Mytilus edulis: one gene and its partner. The protein of the gene in region 1 binds, or shares a complex with, the protein of each later gene. Links are inferred from orthologs where the notes say so. Each region holds a gene or a part of one and is shown on either strand. Other genes may lie near its edges.

Region 1 (11,153 bases):
GTCAAGTTCAGATGAACACTGACAGACAAACATGTACAACTTATCATACCATCAAGAACAAAAAATTACCTATAGTTGTCAGTGTCTGTGTCATTTTAATCTCTTATTGAGAGTTATCTCATTGGCAATCATACCACATCTTCTTTTTTATAATTATCAGTTTCTTTAAGCATGAAATTGAAGGACAATTAATTAACAGGAAACATTGTAACCTTAGAACAAAAGACATATGTATACTATTATAGCAGATACGTGTATGAAGTTTCCAGGTCTTCTTCTTTTTGAAATAAAGCTTGTATATATGTTATACATGTAGTTGGTTGCAGGAGATTTCTCAAGCTCATGCTTATTGTTGATTCAAAATATGTGCAGATTTTAAATAGAATTAACTTACCTTATTACAGAAGGAAAATGGACAGAGTTAAACCAAAATGCCTGATGACTCTTTGTTCAGAAAGAACCAAAAAAAAAACATTTTGTAAAGGTATGAGAAAAAGAATGAGAAAAATTTAAAGAAGAATAATGCATCTTCCCTGCAAATTAAGGTCTTACTTTGATCTTGTGATTTTGAGCTTTCCAACTTCTCCACCATCTGCATGACTCCACTTTTCTGACAAATACTTTGGTACCTAAAATAGTTAAAAAAATTACCATTTAGATCATATCCTATATAAAATTGAGAAAGGAAATGGTGAATAAGTCAAAGCGACAACCACCCGACCATAGAGCAAACAACAGCCGAAGGCAACCAATGGGTCTTCAATGTAGCGAGAATTCCCGCACCCGTAGGTGTCCTTCAGCTGGCCCCTAAAATATGCATAATAGTACAGTGATAATGGACGTCATACTAAACTCCGAATTATACACAAGAAACTAAAAATTAAAATCATACAAGATTATATATATATATTTCATATTTTATGCTATCATGTATGCATTTTACCAGATTTCTTATCGTGCTTAGTTAACCTTTTTCATATGCTTTTAACTTGAATACCTAACTTTTCATGCTTATAACTTGAATACCTAACTTTTCATGCTTATTACCTGCTTATTATTTAATACTACCATGCTAAAAGTGCATTATTTTGTGTTATGTAACTTATTGCATGTATTGTATAAGAAAATTGTTGTGTTGTATTTCGGTTAAAAGATCAATAGAGCTCATGTTATGTTTTCTGTTAGTCTACTGTGCTGACTTTCAAAAAAGCTTATTTATTTATTTATTTGTCATTCTGTACTATTTTGACTGACTTCACTACAAATGTATAACAGAGGTACTAGTTCGATGATGCTGAGAAGTGTTTAGGCTCAGCTGGTGTTTGATGTTTTATAGCAAACAAGTCATAAAAAATTATGATGATTTCTGATTTCTAATTGCTTAACTGCTCATTTAAAAAAAATATTTGCCACCAGTAGTTAAGCAACCAACAAACAATAAATCATTTAAACAAGAAACTGTTGAGAGAAATTGAGCAAGTATTGACACAACATTTAAGCTTAAAACAGCTCTGATTTTGGGTTGTGAATTTGTGATTGAATATTTGATACAGCATAGGTTTGTGACACATAACATGCATAATGAATGTGGTAAAAAAAACTGAAAAAATGAAAATGAACATTTACCTATTAATATTATGGTCCAATATCCAAAATCTAAGTACATTGACATGATTGTTAGAAACAGCATATCAAAGAACCCCAAAATTTAATTTTTGATGAAATACTTGAATGAATTAAACTATTTCTGTTCAAAGGGAAATAACTCAAACACAATAATATATACATGAACCAGTAACGTAAACCTAAAATTAGATATGATTTAATCACTAACAAAATAGTTTTCTAAAATTCAAAAAATTATTATTTTTTGTTCAATGGGCAATAACTCAATCACATAATAAGTCACATATCTGAATTTGAAAAAATTTCATCAAAGCATTTTCATGTGAATGAATGGACACTGTTTGGCCCCACCTGTCCAACATACATCCCTCATTCTAAAATCGAAAATATCTTTTAAATTAATATTAATTTTAAAAAAGTGTCACCTGTATTGGTGGTTGTACATGAACATGTATGTCCACTTTTATTGGACCACACATCAAGTTAATTGAACCTTTATTGTTATTTGTTTGAGAGCAGCCAAAAAGTAGTTGTAAAACATTTGGACGCAGATTCCTTACAGAAATAATACACCTTATTGCTATTTAGAAATCTGTCCCACTTGACCCGAGAATCTGTCCAAATGAACTTTTGACATCATCCAACAATTACATGTACTTTCCATGCATTGCGGCTTCAGATACTTTGTAAAATTTTCTATTATGACGTCAAAATTTTATGAGAACTTTGTGATATCCAGTAACTGCTGAAAAATAGTGATTAGGTGATTGCTGGCAAACACTAAAATAATAAATTACATTTCACTAGATAAATTATGTCCTGACTCAGTTTATCCTTATACACCTTATTGCTAGCCTATCTGTCCGCCATTACTGGACATCACATAAGTTCCTGTAAAATTTTAACATCATAATAACAATATTTTGACGCCACAGTGGAAAAGTGATTGTTGTAAGATGTCAAAAGTTCAAGTGGGACAGACTCCTCTTCTTCTTCTTCTTTTCGAAGTAAGGAACCAAATTCATATTGAATGTGTATGGTCCCGCGAAAACTTAGCGCAGTACCTGGCAAGGCAGCAAGTCTTCTCAAAGTTATTTACATTTAAAACGTTCGCCAATTTACAATTAAAATTATATACACTCTATGCTGTCCACTTCCTTCCAGAGCCTGCTTTCAGAGCATCTCTGAATCCCTCTATCGAGTCAGCCGATGTTGTTTTAGCTGGAAGTTGATTCCAATCCCTGATGCAGTGATGGTCTTTGGGAAGAATGACTGTCCATAGGTGTCAGTTTTTGTTCTTTCCTGGTAAAAGCGGCCTATACCTCTGGTCCGACTGTCATTGGTTATTAGATATTGTTGTCTATCTATATCGATATTATTAAAGCCTGTGTTGAATTTTAAATAGCATATTTCCTGGGTCAGGCTGGACAGATTTCCAAATACAAACACATATGTAGCGATATTCAGATAAGGTGTATACATGTGCCTGCCATGATCCATTGCAATTAATTTTTTTCTTCTTCTTCTTTAAGGTCAACAAGGCTTCAATACTGAAGAATACATGTTGTTGCGCATGCGTGATTGACAAAAATTTATACAAAATTCATAAAAATAATTTATAACAATTGGAGTGTTTGTATATACAGATTTTGATTAAAAATATATGTACATGTTTTGTTTGAATTTGTTTATTTGAAGCTAGAGAGAACAGCTGGTGTTAGCGGATCTCAACAGTGGTGGTTTCAATTATAGTTTGTGATAGTAAATTCCATGGATCTCCTGTAGTTGGTGATCGCAATACTGGTATACAAGTATTGTGCACAATACTGGTATAAAAAATTTGTACCAGTATTGTATTCCAGTATTGTACCAATATTGTGTTTTTTTAAATAAACAATACATATATATATATATATAGGTAATTAATCTTTTATTGATTTCACAATAATCCTCTATAATCTTTTTGTGTTCATTTAATCTCCCTTTGAACTTCAAAATCTAATTTTGCTTAAAATTAATTTTTCATTATACACCTTAAAGTATAGTCAACAATTATACAACTACAATACTGGTATATCAGTAATGTACCAGTATTGTTGTTTTAAAAAAAAAAGTTACAATACTGGTACAAAATTTTTATACCAGTATTGTAGACAATAAATATGCCTTGTTGTATGATCATTTGATTTGCACTGTAGTCTACAGGAAATTTTACAACAGTAGCAGGTGGGGTATCGGGATCGTTCGCCCTAGGTTCGTTCGCACTGAGTTTGTTCGCCCTGATAGTCCGTTCGCCCTGGGTTTGTTCGTCCTAAATTCATTATTGATATATATATGTTACATCAATGAACGAAAAAATTTCGAAAGCAAATTTACAGATCTAACATTGTTGGGTTGATGATTAGACGAGTTGTATATACATTATGTACACAGCCATGTATCACCATCATTGCTGGTGATCCGATGGATACATCTGTTGTAGAGTTGTCACTGACTCAGACGTACTTATAAATATAATTATTTTCTGTGACTGTATCTTGCATTAATTTGTAGGATCCTTTACTATAGATAATTGAGCTGATCTGTAACAATAACATCTCCATGCCTTATATATCATGTACTGTAGTACGCCGCTAGATTAAAACTGACGAGGAAAGGTAACACACAGCCACCGAAAGCTTTATATTTTGTGAAGCCCAGGTGGTCGTGTGGTCTAGCGGGACGGCTGCAGTGCCGGCGATTTGGTGTCACGAGATTTAGACAAAATAACACGATACATCATAAATATTCGGCGAAATTGAAGACTGACTTCAACACATTCAATTATATACACACAACGCAACACTATACTAAAAAATAAAATCAGGGCGAACGGACTCGGGGCGAACAGGTATTAGGGCGAACAGAAACTAGGGCGAACCAGAATCAGGGCGGACGGACCCGGATTCAGCAGGTGGTACAACAAAGTAAACAGGTAAACAATAAAAATATTTTCTCAGAAGGGACTACATGTATCATGACTATGCTTTCACTGCTGTGTGTCACAAATAAGTGATGTAACAAGTGAGTTTACCTTAACCAACCATACACCTCTTCCTGCAGCATTAAGATCTACATCTCTTGGGGTATGAGCCTTCTCAAACTCTGGGGGCATAGACATTACAGCTGAAAGTTTAGTTCTTTAACGTGAAGGTACAAAAATTACATGTTGTGAATAAAAGCTAAATTGTACGGAAATTTCGCCTCAGAAATTTCGACATCAAATCTGTCTTTCATTGCAGTTTTTTAGTGGGGAATTATAAATATCTGACATGATGAAAAATATAACCAGTGTTTTGAAAAACAAGATTCAACCAAAATTATCGTGATCACAATTTGTCTTATTAATCTTCCTTTTACTCACTCCACAATTTTTTTTAGCGGGAAATAAACTTTCATTGCAGAACAGCTGAGAATCGATTGCTCATTCACCAGTTCACATCAAGATAATAATATTTTAAAGACTAAAGTAAACAAAGCTGCTCAACCTAATACAATAACCAAGAAGTATTAGAATAGAATAATTTTTTTATATTCATATATTTTTATATATTTTTTTTTATATTCATATATTGCATACATCTATGATACACCTCTGCGTTAAGTTCTGTCAAATTTGTTTATTACTTAGTTTATGGGGGTCTCATTGAGGGAAGGGGGGGTTCTGATCCTGCTTACTGTTTTGTCAGATTCCCGTATCCCGCTTACAATATCATGACTATGCTTCTGCTTCTGCCTGATAATGACCACAATCAACGAGCTGATTATTATGTCATGACTGAGGTGCGCATGCAGACCCCCCCCCCCCCCCAATTTCAATAAATTAGTTCAGCTTTGTCAGTGAGGCTTTAAAGGCCTCGACTGACGGTGCTGATGCTACCCCAGGAGGGAGAGCGTTCCAATCCCTGATTGTTCTTGGGAAAAATGAGTATTTTCTGTAATCACTTCTGCTTGCTGGAATTTGGAAACTTTTGTCGTGCATGTTCCTCGACAGTCGTGTTGGTTGCATAAGACGACCTTCCTTAATTACAGCCACTTTGTCGTGTTCTATTTTATAGAGCATAGTTAGCCTAGCATCTTTTCGCCTTTTTTCCAGAGATGGCCATTCCAGGTGCTCAATCATTTTGCTGACACTTGAGTGATTATGGTGTTTGTTGGAAACGTATCTTGCTGCTCTTCTCTGGACCATTTCTAAACGATCTATTTCGGTTTTAAAGTATGGGTCCCATACTGGACTTGCATACTCTATTATTGGTCTTGCAAGGCTTTTGTATGCATTTTCTTTTACTGAGGTTGCTCCTATATTTAGATTTCTCTTTAGGAAGCCTATAGTCCTGTTGGCTTTGTTGCATATATTATTGATATGATCATTCCACTTCAGTTCGGATGTGAAGGTGCAACCAAGGTATTTAGCACTTTTGACAGGTTCCAGTTTGTGACCATGCAATGTGTAAGATGTTGGAATGGTGTTGTTTTTGCGGCTGATGGTAAGAACGTTGCATTTGTCCGGATGGAAGGACATTTTCCATTTGGCTTCCCATGTTCCTAGTTTGTCGAGGTCGCTTTGAAGGTCGTTTGAATCTTTGTCGGATGAGATGGTAAGATATGCTATTGTATCATCAGCAAATAGGCGGACAGTGGATTTGATCCCATCTGGCATGTCGTTGATGTAGAACAGGAATAATGCAGGACCAAGGACAGAGCCTTGGGGAACTCCAGATTCTACATCAATATGTGATGAGCACTCTCCATCCACAACCACTGCTTGCGTTCGGTGTGATAGGAAGCTGGCAATCCATCTATTGGTTTTACCACTGATACCGTAATGTTCTAGTTTGTGTACTAGGAGACTGTGACCGACTTTATCAAATGCCTTTGAGAAATCCATTATAAGAACATCTGTCTGTTTACCTGCACTCATATTTTTAGTGATGTCATCCACGAATTCGATTAGATGAACGTAAGCAATTCTCCTTTTCTTGTAATTTCCTGTGTCCTGCTATAGCCTATACAACATTTCCCGTTTTCACGGCACAATAATTTGACTTTAACGTATCATGCTGACAAAAAATCAGTAATCCCACATCACGCTTAGATCCCAATGAGACCCACCTTTATGTCTTCAAAGCACAAAATAATTATTGATGTTCTGTTCAAATCGCAAAAACGTTGCACAGAAAAAAATCTGGGAAAAACGAAGCACTCAAAATAAAATCTTTTAAATATTAAGGAAAAAAGTAATTTACTATTATGAGGGAGGGGCCTGATGGGTTATTTTCGTTCTTTGTGATCGGCACATTTTCGCATGATCCATTTTTCTACAGATTTTTTTTTTTATATTTTTGTGATCGTGATCATGGAAATTTATTTTCTGTGAATCATGATTGACAGAAAAAATCAACCTGTGAATTATCATTGATACCTTTATCTAAAGTTGTAACACCACTAATTCGGGCCCGGCCAGAAAGCACATACCAGAATGCTGTTGCTGATGTTGCACACTTCAAATGATGCACTGCCTTTTTACAGTTAATGTCAGAACATTGAAAGTGAAGTTTAATATCTTTTTTTAAATGTCGATCATTGGGATGGCTAACTGATTACCATAATTGAAGCTTTGTGTCCAAGACTTGATAATTAGCACATATTTTCCACAGTCGCCTGAAGATTTCAAGCAAAATATGGTTGAAATATTTCCCCCATTTTTTATTATTATGAAATCTTCAGGCGACTGTGGCACATCGTACATGTACATGTAAATATTTATTGAATTCATAGTTTATTTATGATTATGTACTTATACGAATAATAAAGTTTTATTTTGATTCGGTTTACATATACATGTATAACAATACAAACATAAGCTCTTAACCCTTTTGCCGATGAGTCCCGTTTTACCGGGATCGGAATACCTCTTTTATATTTCCTGCTAAAAACAGTGCAAACATGAGTTATCTTTCTTTGTTGGATACCCTAATGAAAGTGTAAACATGGCGCTTCTGTTTGTTGAAAACCATGTCAAAATCCAAGGAAATTTACGGAATTAACAAGAATTTGAAATGAGGGAACATTTTTTTTGAAAGAATATGGAAGAATTGAAGCCAAATGTGTATACTTTTTTTTACATAAAATGTCGTTTCATGTACAAAACACTTGGAATGGACATCGTTCAGTGTAAGGAATTTGTACAGCCTCATTAATATTTTATGAAGAAAAAATTATCAAAACATGAACAAAACTGTGAACATGGTGTTAGTGAATGAAATAAAGACACAAATAACTATAGACAAGTTTTTATTGACATTTATTATGAAGATCTCCCACTTGAGTAATAGTAGCCAGGGAAGCCATCGTCTCAGAGTAGCTTCTTTCTGGGCAGCTATCGGTGAAAGGGTTAAGAGCTTTTCACCGAAGATAAAATAACATTAAAACACAGACAAGATATATAACAGCACAGGCATATGGAAATACATGCAAAGCACTACTAAAATACATATCTAAACTTGTAATAATCATGACACTAATGTATATATGCAATATGTATGTCATTTTAGATTTCTACAATGCAAGCATTCTTGACTGGAAAATCTGGTTTAACCAAGACAAAAGATAAACCAACTTCAAAAGAACCAACAAGAGAAAAAAGTAAACATGTTCCATGGGTGGAGAAGTAGTAAGTATTGACTGTTGTATTAGTTTCTCAACTCATTCATAATCTTACTAAAAAGTAAACATGTTCCATGGGTGGAGAAGTAGTAAGTATTGACTGTTGTATTAGTTTCTCAACTCATTCATAATCTTACTAATAAGTAAACATGTTCCATGGGTGGAGAAGTAGTAAGTATTGACTATTGTATTAGTTTCTCAACTCATTCATAATCTTACTAATAAGTAAACATGTTCCATGGATGGAGAAGTAGTAAATATTGACTGTTGTATTAGTTTCTCAACTCATTTATAATCTTACTAAAAAGTAAACATGTTCATAATCTTACTAATAAGTAAACATGTTCCATGGGTGGAGAAGTAGTAAGTATTGACTGTTGTATTAGTTTCTCGATTCATTCATAATCTTACTAAAAAGTAAACATGTTCCATGGGTGGAGAAGTAGTAAGTATTGACTGTTGTATTAGTTTCTCAACTCATTCATAATCTTACTAATAAGTAAACATGTTCCATGGATGGAGAAGTAGTAAGTATTGACTGTTGTATTAGTTTCTCAACTCATTTATAATCTTACTAAAAAGTAAACATGTTCATAATCTTACTAATAAGTAAACATGTTCCATGGGTGGAGAAGTAGTAAGTATTGACTATTGTATTAGTTTCTCAACTCATTCATAATCTTACTAATAAGTAAACATGTTCCATGGATGGAGAAGTAGTAAGTATTGACTATTGTATTAGTTTCTCAACTCATTCATAATCTTACTAATAAGTAAACATGTTCCATGGATGGAGAAGTAGTAAGTATTGACTGTTGTATTAGTTTCTCAACTCATTTATAATCTTACTAAAAAGTAAACATGTTCCATGGGTGGAGAAGTAGTAAGTATTGACTATTGTATTAGTTTCTCAACTCATTCATAATCTTACTAATAAGTAAACATGTTCCATGGGTGGAGAAGTAGTAAGTATTGACTGTTGTATTAGTTTCTCAACTCATTTATAATCTTACTAATAAGTAGACATGTTCCATGGATGGAGAAGTAGTAAGTATCGACTGTTGTATTAGTTTCTCAACTCATTCATAATCTTACTAATAAGTAAACATGTTCCATGGATGGAGAAGTAGTAAGTATTGACCGTTGTATTAGTTTCTCAACTCATTTATAATCTTACTAAAAAGTAAACATGTTCATAATCTTACTAATAAATAAACATGTTCCATGGATGGAGAAGTAGTAAGTATTGACTATTGTATTAGTTTCTCAACTCATTCATAATCTTACTAATAAGTAAACATGTTCCATGGGTGGAGAAGTAGTAAGTATTGACTATTGTATTAGTTTCTCAACTCATTCATAATCTTACTAATAAGTAAACATGTTCCATGGATGGAGAAGTAGTAAGTATTGACCGTTGTATTAGTTTCTCAACTCATTTATAATCTTACTAAAAAGTAAACATGTTCATAATCTTACTAATAAATAAACATGTTCCATGGATGGAGAAGTAGTAAGTATTGACTATTGTATTAGTTTCTCAACTCATTCATAATCTTACTAATAAGTAAACATGTTCCATGGGTGGAGAAGTAGTAAGTATTGACTATTGTATTAGTTTCTCAACTCATTTATAATCTTACTAATAAGTAAACATGTTCCATGGGTGGAGAAGTAGTAAGTATTGACTGTTGTATTATTTCTCAACTCATTTATAATCTTACTAATAAGTAAACATGTTCATAATCTTACTAATAAGTAAACATGTTCCATGGATAGAGAAGTAGTAAGTATTGACTATTGTATTATTTCTCAACTCATTCATAATCTTACTAATAAGTAAACATGTTCCATGGGTGGAGAAGTAGTAAGTATTGACTGTTGTATTAGTTTCTCAACTCATTCATAATCTTACTAATAAGTAAACATGTTCCATGGGTGGAGAAGTAGTAAGTATTGACTGTTGTATTAGTTTCTCAACTCATTCATAATCTTACTAATAAGTAAACATGTTCCATGGATGGAGAAGTAGTAAGTATTGACTATTGTATTATTTCTCAACTCATTCATAATCTTACTAATAAGTAAACATGTTCCATGGATGGAGAAGTAGTAAGTATTGACTATTGTATTATTTCTCAACTCATTCATAATCTTACTAATAAGTAAACATGTTCCATGGATGGAGAAGTAGTAAGTATTGACTGTTGTATTAGTTTCTCAACTCATTCATAATCTTACTAATAAGTAAACATGTTCCATGGATGGAGAAGTAGTAAGTATTGACTGTTGTATTAGTTTCTCAACTCATTTATAATCTTACTAAAAAGTAAACATGTTCCATGGGTGGAGAAGTAGTAAGTATTGACTATTGTATTAGTTTCTCAACTCATTCATAATCTTACTTATAAGTAAACATGTTCCATGGGTGGAGAAGTAGTAAGTATTGACTATTGTATTAGTTTCTCAACTCATTCATAATCTTACTAATAAGTAAACATGTTCCATGGATGGAGAAGTAGTAAGTATTGACTGTTGTATTAGTTTCTCAACTCATTTATAATCTTACTAAAAAGTAAACATGTTCATAATCTTACTAAAAAGTAAACATGTTCCATGGGTGGAGAAGTAGTAAGTATTGACTATTGTATTAGTTTCTCAACTCATTTATAATCTTACTAATAAGTAAACATGTTCCATGGATGGAGAAGTAGTAAGTATTGACTATTGTATTAGTTTCTCAACTCATTCATAATCTTACTAATAAGTAAACATGTTCCATGGATGGAGAAGTAGTAAATATTGACTGTTGTATTAGTTTC
Region 2 (11,290 bases), on another chromosome or scaffold:
TACATTTCATATCCAATGTGAACTCTACTGAACACTCCGGACAAAACTCTTCACAAGTACAATCCTGAAAACAAATGTGCAAATAATTATTTATATACTGGAAATTCCACAAATTTACACATGCATTTATATTCTTCTAAAAAGTAAAAAGAAATCAAAGTTGCTACATTTATTTTATAAAATACTACAAACAAATAGTGCTATTTAAATTTAAAATTCTTATTAAAACCTATCTTGTCACAATAATAAAGACTTTTTTTATTACCAGCTATCAAGTAAACCTTAAAACTGTACAATTTGTTTTGACCAACCCCATTATATAAAACACATAACTTCTTTAAATCAAAGTGATGGATATCACTCATGGAAAGATTGGAGTAGTTTGAATAATTTCATATCAAGGTATGGTGGGGACAAAAAAGAACATTAATAATATTGAAGCACTAATGCTGAAAATTACATTAACAGCCGGTCTTTAGAAGGAAAAGTGCTTTTCCAGTATGAATATAAAATGAGCTCAAATTAAATAACATGGGTCTAAAAAAATTGCAAATCTAAAATTTTCCTAGTTAATTTCACCAACAATGTTGATTAGTAATGAGGTCAATTTAATTCGCAGTTAAGGAGGTGGGCAAAGTAATTAAAGGTCCACCTTGTCTCTGATTGTTTGGTGATAATGACAGTTGTCAATCATACTAGTATTGTATCAATACTCAATTAATTATGCAAACTAATTAAAAAGCCTGCACATGAACACACCCTAATGACATACATTCTTAAATGAACCGCTCCAAAAATATACCCATTTTTTCACAATTATATGTGTATTCTGTGCACATACATGAGAACTATATGAGCTATATTTCAGTGCAGTGAATACATTTAGTAGCTAACCAGTCGTGTTGTTAAGGAGGCCAGTGCCTTAAGAAAGATTTAGAACAAGTTCCAATCTTTCCAAAAACCCATCAACTTCCTCAGAAAATAAAACCATATTCACTTTCCCCTCTGAGTTTTCGGTACCAAAAATGAACAACATATAAAATATCACATATATATATAATCTTTAAGTAGCTATCATAGCAACTCAAAGATTATATGCATGTGATTGTATGGGTTGTTAACAAATAGAATGATATGTTTTCATTAAAAGTCGAGAAATACAGTAATTATACACACAAGATGATTTGTTCAAATTCCACCACAGCTGGTGAATAGTGAATCCCATTAAAACAGGATAATTGGTGATAATTAAAAGAGTTAGAACAATCAGATAATATCTAATGAATAAACAAACAGTATACACATTTCACATTGTTGAAGGCTATACCATGGCCTACAGTTGCCAACATCCATTTTATTAAAGCTCTAAAGGTAACTCTTTGGCAATCATACCACATCTCCTTATTTCATACAATCATAACCATTCGATCATTGTGAAAATTCACAAGAGTTATAACAAAGTGAACATAAATTTCGGCTGTTCGGAGTGAGTTGAAGGCCGTACATTGACCTATAATGGTTTACTTTTATAAATTTTTATTTGGATGGAGAGTTGTCTCATTGGCACTCACACCACATCTTCCTATATCTATATAAAGTGAACACATTGTGAGTACTCTTAGATGATATATAAAGTACATATTCAACTTTTAATACTTTACTCTACTTTGATAAGTAATCACATATGCATGCTTGAAATTATTTAAAACAGATTTTTTATTCAAACTGCTGTTGCCTTCAAACATGAAGTAGTCTATTTTTTATCATTTTTATCTGCTGACGATTGCAACACTTGTTTTAAAATAATAACACCATCTGTATAAGACCTTTAGCCAATTGTGTGTGCCCTTTTTAAAAATGGTTGATTAAAAAAGCTCAGTATCTCATACTTTATAAAGTCTGAAATGTTATAGAGTACACCCACAAAATCCTTTTCTGTTGATTATAATCTTACTCTGGAATACTGCATCCTGTCCACTATTTCATCACTGGTCAGTGGTATTAAACCTATTCTGTGGGCCAGAAACTCATCAAATAACACTGTAGAATTGGATTCCATCTGTACCCAATCTATTGCTGAAATTCATAACATAAACATCACAAACATAGGGAGATTTAAATAAAAGGACTAATATTGTAAAAACATTATGTTTTACATATTTACCTTATCAAAATGCTTATTGAGAATGTAGACTTGTGTAATAAATTGTCCGTTCAATTACTTAAGACAAACTGTGTGACAGGGTTATACATATTTCAACCCTCTCTCTGACTTGCAACAGACTGAAAAATGACATTCAAAAAAATTGTTACTGTTACCTGTTTTTTTCCATATCATTAAGGAAAGTTCACTAAGGAGTTAGGCTGTTTTCTTTGTAGTTTTAGTGAAAAATAAAACTTCAATCTACGTGCATGTTTTTTCAATATAAAATACCATACTTATAAATGTTATATAATTTCCTATCATATTTACCCATGGTTGGAACTTCAGCTATGCATACTCTTCTAACAGCATTTGCAACACTGTAAAACAAATAAAATGAAATATAATCAGTATTAAATGTATAGCTATAGAAGTTCATTCCTTCAATCTTCAAGGCGGAGGTACAAAATGTATAGAAACTATAAACATAATTTTTCATCATGAAAAAAACAAAATATTTTCGTCCTCGTCACAATCAGTAAAGAATTATGTTTTTAAAAGTAATATTGAACTATTATTTTTTTCAGAAATTTCAACCAATGTAAATTTCAAATGTCTGTTACTGTGTATTTTTTTCCAAATACCATTTGTTTTTAATACTCATACATACATTTTTACATGTATATCTAATTAATCAAAATACTTCAATGTTAGAATGAAGTTACCTGATAACATTGAACAAATCCTTTGATCACATTAAAATTAACAATATATAAGAATACCAAAATACCATGACCTACATGATGACAATTTCTCTTTTTTTTGTAAAGCAAAACACTATACACCATTAATATCACTGTATACTTGTCCATCATTGATTGACAGAAGATTTGAATCTATTCATATACATTTGTACCTAAGCTTTTTAAAGTTCTAGTTTATCAATAGTTGATACCATTAGAGGGATAGGGGGAATTAAAAATAAATTAAAGGTCTAAGAAAACTAGACAAAACCATGTAAAAGATAAACAAAAGTCCAATTAAAAATCCAGAGAAAACAACATCTAAACATTACAAATACCATAATACCAGCTCAATCTAAAATACGATTGAACACCTACATGTATATAGTGCCCTACACTGCAACTGTGATGGTTACAAACCAATCCAGTCATGCTAGTGCTATTCCATAAAATAGTATAGCAATTTACTCTAAAAAAAACTTATTATTACAAGAAACACTTATGAACCACATCAACAAAAGGACAACTACTGAACAACAGTTCCTGACTTGATTAAGACATGTGCAAACAAATGCAACCGTTGAACCCTTACCTGAACCAGAAGAATAACATTACAATTTAAAACATAAAAAAACACATTTTATTAAATTAATGTTATGTACTAAAACAGATGTACTGAAACATAATGTCTATAATGATAACGTATACCACCATTTAGTATCAGACAATCCCTCAAGTGAATGGATAAACAAATTATTGAGTTATTATAAGATTTAAACCTCTATCCCATAAAGAATACAGATATCAAACTGAAAGTCTATATGTATTTTAAATATGCACTATTTAAATAATTCTCTGGCACTAATAGGTGTAAATAGAGCTTGATCTAGTCCAAATAATTACAATGTATGAGTCTTGAAAGGCCATTATAATTTTTTTCTTTCATGCCTTAACTTGATCATGATTTTTACATTTCGGTATATATTCTTTGTTTTTTAAGATTTTTAACATAAAGTTGGCTCCAAGTTTTCAAGAACTGGCGACAAAGTATAGAAGCTATCAATTTGTCTGGCTCCAATTTTTTGTGAGCCAGAGCAGCCCCTGCTTTGTAGAGAAGAAGTTCAGTTATGTCTTCTTCTTCTTCCGAATACGTGAGTAGACACCTAGGTAGGAGTGTAAAACTTCCCGGAACTTGTGTGCTATGTACATATGGACTTAATTTAAAAATAATATGACAAAGAAAAATCGTTAACAATAACATATATACATTATGTACAGTGGCTTTGTAGTTCAATAAGTTGTTGTGGATCCTTCAAATGTTAGAGTGGATATGCCACTTTTGAAGGATTCCAGGGTGTCAGACATACCTATTGCTTCAGGTAGTGAGTTCCAGTCCGAAATAGTGCGAGGATAAAATGAGAATTTATAGAAATCTTTATTTGTTGATATTTGCCTAAATTTATGTTTCCCCCTAGTACGTCTATCAGATATTGTAAAATTGTCCTTAGGAACTTCAACTAACCCCCCAATTTATTTTAAATAGCATAGTTAATCTAGCTTTTTTCCTTTTTATTTCTAAATTTTCGGAATTCCCATTCCAATGATTTAATTAAATTTGAAACTGCTCCAGGTGATCTGTCTTTATAATCATTGAAGACAAACCTGGCTGCCTTACGCTGTACCTGCTCAACCTGAGTGATGTGTTGTTTTAGTACGGATCCCAGACAAGGGAAGAGTATTCGACGACTGGGCGTACAAGTGATGTGTACATAGGGTTTTTAACCTTATGTGTTCAGTTTTTCAAGTTCCTACGAAGAAAATCTTACGTTTTATTTGCCTTACAGGTAATATTGTTTATATGTGTTCCCCAATCAAGATCATGGCTTATAGTTACGCCTAAATATTTACTGTTTTTACTGCTTCTAAAACATGATTGTGCAATATATATATAATCAAATAAGGTCTTATGATTATTTGATCATTTTTTCTTTGGCAATGTCATTAAACCATTTACAAATCGGTGTTGCAGCAGTAATAAGAATTCGAAGTATCTAGTTTAAAGAGAAAAAAAACAGTTATGTTTATTTCATAATTTTTAAAATCACTTTATATTTTCACCACATGCAGCACCTGTATCAGAATCTTAATGTTAGAGGCATAGCAGATATGTTAACTTAGTGTTTATGTAACCTCAAATCAGTATCTTCAAGTGTAAATTTAAGATTCTCGTCTGTTAGTTCTGTTAATGTTACAGTAGGTTGATTAGCGTAAGGCATTTTTTCTCGATTGTGTCTTTCAAAAAATCCTCACATCATAAACCGGAAATAAAACCGTCCTGTCCCATTGAAATTTTTAGGGGTGGGCAGGTTACAAAAAAATCTTTGAAATCAGTTTTATGCCGAGATCTTCACAAATACTTCTTAATGAAAGAACAAGCTCTTCGTTTTGAACAATAAAATACTTAAAGATTGACATTGCTAGGCATATAATATGTTTTTTTTTATAAAAATATCAAACATACCCTACAGCAATTTATTTGACACATCTTGTTTACTTCCGGTTTCGGGACAGCTGTGGTCCTCAGAAACAAACAGCATAAACATGTCTTCATTTACAGATAGCAACTTCGTAAAGAAATTAAGCGAACTGAACAACACACAGCAGAGTATTCAGACGTTATCATTATGGCTGATTCACCACAGAAAGCATTCAAAAACCATCACCCAAGTATGGCTGAGAGAATTGCAAAAAGGTCAGTATACCTGTCCACAAATCTTATACACAGAACAGCACGTGTAACGTGTCTAAAATGTCAAAATTGTATATCTCTGATGAAGATAAAACTTACAACATTGAGTTGACATTCTGCAATGCTAGCTAGTAACTGCCATTGTCTGTAAAGGTGCACTTGCAAGCCACAAAAGAAGTTTTTGTCTCAAGAAAAGGTTAGGACCAGCTACATGTACCTGAATGAGTTAAACATACATGAACCATAAGGAAGCAGGACAAATCGCCCCACTGGCAAATCGCCCCACCCCTAATCGCCCCACTTCTTCACCAACTCGCCCCACTTTAAAAAAAAACGCCCCAAACTGATTCACCAAATCGCCCCACATTTTTAAAAATCGCCCCACATGTGAAATGTGTTAAATCCTGTTAATATTACTCCTGCCAACTCGCCCCACTTAATAGAAAACGGTAATATCTAGATTAATATATAATTTTCATGTCTGCCAACTAGCCCCACTTTAATGAAAACTAATCTACACAAAATACAAACAAACTGAAAATTTATGTTATTTCTATTATTGATATACTGGAATTATAATTCTAAATATAATTTTCGTATTGTTGGAGAATAACTGTATTCTTGTAATCTTAGTTATTTGCCAATTGAAAAGAAACCTGTTATATTAAACATATCAAAGGATTTCAATTAACAGCAATTTTGTTATCATAGCAATTACTGGATTGGTTACTTTTGTCTCTGAATTAAGAATAATTCAACACTAACGAGCAATCAGAAAATGATGTTCCTAACCTTATTTCTGTTTTATTTCAACTATGCAGAAGAAAGTACAAAAAAAAAGAAGCATTTCAAACGTTCTCATAAGTGGGACCAATTGGAAAGCCAACACACATTCATGACATTACAGTTTAATTATTTTATTCGTAAGTGGTGCTAGTTGGAAGCCTTTAACTCTATTCATACTTGTACTTTTCATAAGTGGGGCTAGTTGGCATAAATCAATTCATCAGGATTTTTCTATTTTTCACAAGTGGAGCGAGTTGACATTCACGTTATCAAAATACTAAAAAAAAATAATCACTTCTTACTGCTATTTAAAAAAAAAGGAATAACATATATATATGTTACAGTAAATAGGTGAAATTAGGAATTACACGTAATTACTAAACATTTCAGTAAATACCTGTAATCACTAGTCAATTTAGTAATTACATGTATTTACTTGTTGTTTCAGTGATTACAGGTATTTACTGATTTTTTTTGTCATTTTTACAGCTATTTACTAACTTGATATTTCTCTTTAAAAATTAAAGACATAATTCAAGATGTCAAATAAGAAAGTAAGGGGTAGGGATTTTTAGGGCTTACTTAAGGATCAAGGATGATAAGGCACATAAAAAGTGCATACTCTTCAGTGTTTGTAAATTGAAACTGGAAAATGGTTGTTTTATAAGTTTTGAAACTCCCTAAAAATCATTTTGAACATGCAAGACAATGATATCAATCCAAAATTGAGAAAAACATTTTTGAGAAATTTATAGGCAACTTAGCCAGCTATTTAATTGTTAAGATAGACATTAGATTATGGCAAACTTGGTTAAATGATCTTTATAATTCTTAAAATCTCATAATTTTGTTATATTAAAATCTTCATCAGGCATACTCTGCATATCAACTCGGCCAATAACATGAGTTAAATTCCTTTTACAAAACAGGTTTAACTACGACTTCTTTTGTCAGACATTTGCGATGAAGCTGACATTCTTCACAAACAAATTTATACAAATTGATGGCGTAAAGAGTCACATTTTCATATTTCCGTGTTTTTATGAGTTCTTCAAGACCTCAAAACTTAAGCTATATATCTCCAACAAAATTTTATCATCGTTTCTTCCTGTATAAGAATGATCTTTTTGTGGATTGAAAAAGTAAACTAAATGGTCCATCCCTTTTGTTTTACTTTCAATGTTGACATTTCTTTTCCTTTTCATCGAGCCTCTGTTTTTTTTTGTCGCAAAAGCGAGACATAGCGAACCAACCTAACAATTCCGTCGCCAGCTGCGTCCACAAATATTCGCTCTGTGGTTATATTTTTTAAATTTTGATAAGTTTCTCAAATTATCCTGGATTTCTACCAAACTTGAACAGAAGCTTCAGTTGTTTATGATCAAAAGATACATTTCCAGAAGTAAATTTTGTAAAAAAAAAATTCCGTATTTTACTTATAAAGGGACTTAGTTTTTATGCCAGTTAACATTACATTCACACTGTGGTTAACTTTTAAAAAATTTAATAACTTCTCAAAATATCCTGGATTTCTGTCAAAATTGGATAGACGCTTGTTTATGATCATAAGATAATATCTAGAAATAAAGTTTGTAAAAAAAACTATACTTTTTGGTATATTTCTTATTTAAACGGACTATTTTTTTCCAGTTAACATAACATACACTCTGCAGTTAAAGATTAGATTTCATAAACCATCCTGAAATTTTAACAAATTTTGATAGAAGATTCTTACAGAACTAGTCAAAAGATAGTATCTAGAAGAAAATACAAAATATTTTTTTTCCTTTTTTGTTGGGCCTGCGACTCACAGCAAAAGTAGGCGAGACACTGGGTTCTGCAAAACCCTAAAATTTTGATAGCTGAATACTCAATGATTTTCTAATTAGTATTACCATAACTTTTGATCAGTGGACCATATTACAACATTGTTTTAACAGTTAGTAAATAGGTGTAAAAATTCAATTTAATTCAGTAATTACTGGTAATTACTGGGCAGTTTTAGGAATTACTTGTATTTACTAAGTGCATCGGGAATTACATGTAATTCCTAAATTTTAGTAATTACATGTAATTCCTAATTTCACCTATTTACTGTAACATATATATTAACAGGATTTAACCCATATACAACGGGATAACATCTTTTTCCATAAGTGGGGCGAGTTGGCATTACTAAATTCATCCTGGTTAATATAAATATATTTATCTAGATTTTACCGTTTTCCATTAAGTGGGGCGAGTTGGCAGGAGTAATATTAACGGGATTTAACACATTTCACAAGTGGGGCGTTTTTTTTTTAAAGTGGGGCGAGTTGGTTAAAAAGTGGGGCGATTAGGTGTGGGGCGATTTGCCAGTGGGGCGATTTGTCATGGATTCAACCATAATATAACTGGTCGGGAAACATATCAAATAGTAAATAAGGATATGAATATTATTAAATGTAAAGAGTTTTAAATTTTATGAAATATGTGCATGATGTGGTGGGTCTCATTGGGGTCTAAGCATTTTTAGCATGAAGCAGGATTGCGGATTTTTTGTAAGCATGACATGTGAAAGTCAAATTATTTTGCCGTAATAACGGGAAATGAATTCTTGCAGGACATTGGAAATCACAAAAAAATGAGAATTGCTTACATACATAGCGCAAGAGTGATAAAGGAATCTGACAAAACAGTAAGGGGTATCTGGGATTAGAACCCCCCAATGAGACCCCCGATGTGAGTAAGCACATGATTACTTTTCTTAACTATTCATGCATACTCTGACATCCTACGGTTGTTTTGCCAGACAATGTGCAGCCGTGGGACATCAGAGCTTGTCCCATATTATAAAGTGGATATTTACCGGACCAAAACCAATGCATTAATTTTGCTTTGTTGCTTCTGGAGCTGACTGAGGGTCTTAATTTTTCATTTATCTCTTCATTTATTAAGTTTCATCTATCTGCCACCCTTTATTTTCTTATATTTGGACAGTTTCACATTTGAACAGCTTTACATTTGTCATTGCAGGCCATTTAACAAATTGTAAAGCTGACAAATGGGAATGGGCTTTGCTCATCGTTGTCTTATAAGGCCACACAGTGACCTACATTGTATTGCTGTTAATTTCTGTGCCATTTGGTCTCTTGTGGATATTTTCTCATTGACATTCATACCACATCTTATTTTTATATATACATACAAATGTACAATGTACATGTATATAAACATATGTTTCTATAATTCTTATCTGATTCATCCTTTTTTTAACCAGTTTAATGATTATATCTATTTACATATTTTGGTCTCAAATTTTCTTTGATCTACAAATTTCCTATTGTGATGTCTTAGAAGAAACAACAATGCATGTTGAAATCACATAGAAATAAATTTTTTGTAGATCTTTGAAAAGCAGGATTGAGTGTCTGCATATTGTCTTAAAGGTGTCATACCACCAATTAAAAGTCCCTATCTGTTCAACCAAATTTTGCAATTTTCACAGCTTTCTAAATATTTTACCTTAAGTTTAACTTCATAGAAACTAGGTATATCCTGAATTGTACAGGTGTCACCTTTCTGCATGCCAATTTTCAGTATACATTCTAAATCATATAAGAAAGAAGAGAGCTTCCGAAAGGAGGTACCACTAAAAATAACCCCTGGTTTTCTGAAAATCTTAAATTAGTATACCATGGAGTGTATTAATCCTCAATTTTAAATGCAAACTCCTAGACAGATAAAATTTGGCTCAAAATGGTCTTGATATATTTCTCTTTCAACCAAAGTTTTATTTCTGCAAATTTTTTGGTTAGTTTAGGTGAACAATGACATCAAATGCACTATTTTTTGTCCGAGTAGGCCTACTTTCACATACGTTCTAAATTTGAGGGAGTAATTGGTGGTATGACACCTAAAGAGACAAAAAAGTAGATTAGAAATCTTTTGTTTTGCTTTATTCTTAATCCTTAGTCAATTTGAAGTTAAAAACAGCCTTTCTGAGCATAATGCAACTTATATTAAAAATTTCACAGCTCAATTTAAACTGACTGTAATGTATGACTTTGATAGAAAATACTTGAAAATTTCATTTTGGGCTACAGGAACATAAACTTTCAATATCAAGATCAGTTTTTGCTTATTTTTCCTTGTTTGTTCTACTACTTTAAAGACTTTCAACAGTTTTCGCAATGAATTTAGTAAAAAATCCAAGGTATTGAAGTGTCATGGAATATTGACCCCCCTTTTTTTCATCTGGTGTCAGTAAAGTACTACAAATTGATCAAAAGTGCAGTCATGGTCATTAAACTGTTTTTATTTACATCAGTTAATAAAATTTAAGATATAAAAATTTCATTTGGAATAATAAATGGTATTTTTGTGAGTTTCTGCAGTGTTTACATTAGGCTATGCTATCTTCCAAGTAAATAGTATGACGCAATGAAATAAGGGGTAAAAATCAAATAATTTCATTAAATCTGCATAACAAAATTTTTTGGGGGTAGTAAATAACCTATGTTTTAATGTTTAACACCACAGATACAACTTTCTGTGCATTTATAACAATTTAGGACATTTTTTTATATTAAAGCATATTGTCAGGGTGAGAAAAGCTAAAAATAGCACAAACTCAAGTTTTAGGCTCTAAATATGCAATATGTGACATTTTGCCCCCAAAAAGATTGAAATGTGCCTAGTATTATTTCAAAATATCAGTTAAGACAAAAAAAATCAATTGTTTTCTGAATTTGATGTATCACCGCATTTCGCTTAAAGGTGTCATACCACCAATTAAAAGTCCCTATCTGTTCAACCAAATTTTGCAATTTTCACAGCTTTCTAAATATTTTACCTTAAGTTTAACTTCATAGAAACTAGGTATATCCT

What was found.
Region 2: general transcription factor IIF subunit 2-like (region 1) and DNA-directed RNA polymerase II subunit RPB3-like share a complex: the UniProt entries of both Homo sapiens proteins name them as parts of the TBP-based Pol II pre-initiation complex. The link is inferred for Mytilus edulis from reciprocal best matches to the Homo sapiens genes GTF2F2 and POLR2C.

Annotation. Positions count from the first base shown.
Region 1 is NC_092346.1:81,242,409-81,253,561, forward strand, and holds the start of general transcription factor IIF subunit 2-like, read right to left. Parts: upstream 4,855-11,153; 5' UTR 4,787-4,854; coding exon 4,700-4,786; intron 630-4,699; coding exon 553-629; intron 1-552. Other genes in the region: replication factor C subunit 4-like, read left to right, coding at 8,229-8,338. UniProt on the Homo sapiens protein: TFIIF is a general transcription initiation factor that binds to RNA polymerase II and helps to recruit it to the initiation complex in collaboration with TFIIB.
Region 2 is NC_092348.1:90,689,693-90,700,982, forward strand, and holds the start of DNA-directed RNA polymerase II subunit RPB3-like, read right to left. Parts: upstream 5,230-11,290; 5' UTR 5,163-5,229; coding exon 5,077-5,162; intron 2,524-5,076; coding exon 2,474-2,523; intron 2,077-2,473; coding exon 1,955-2,076; intron 65-1,954; coding exon 1-64. Other genes in the region: regulation of nuclear pre-mRNA domain-containing protein 1B-like, read left to right, coding at 5,488-5,638. UniProt on the Homo sapiens protein: Core component of RNA polymerase II (Pol II), a DNA-dependent RNA polymerase which synthesizes mRNA precursors and many functional non-coding RNAs using the four ribonucleoside triphosphates as substrates.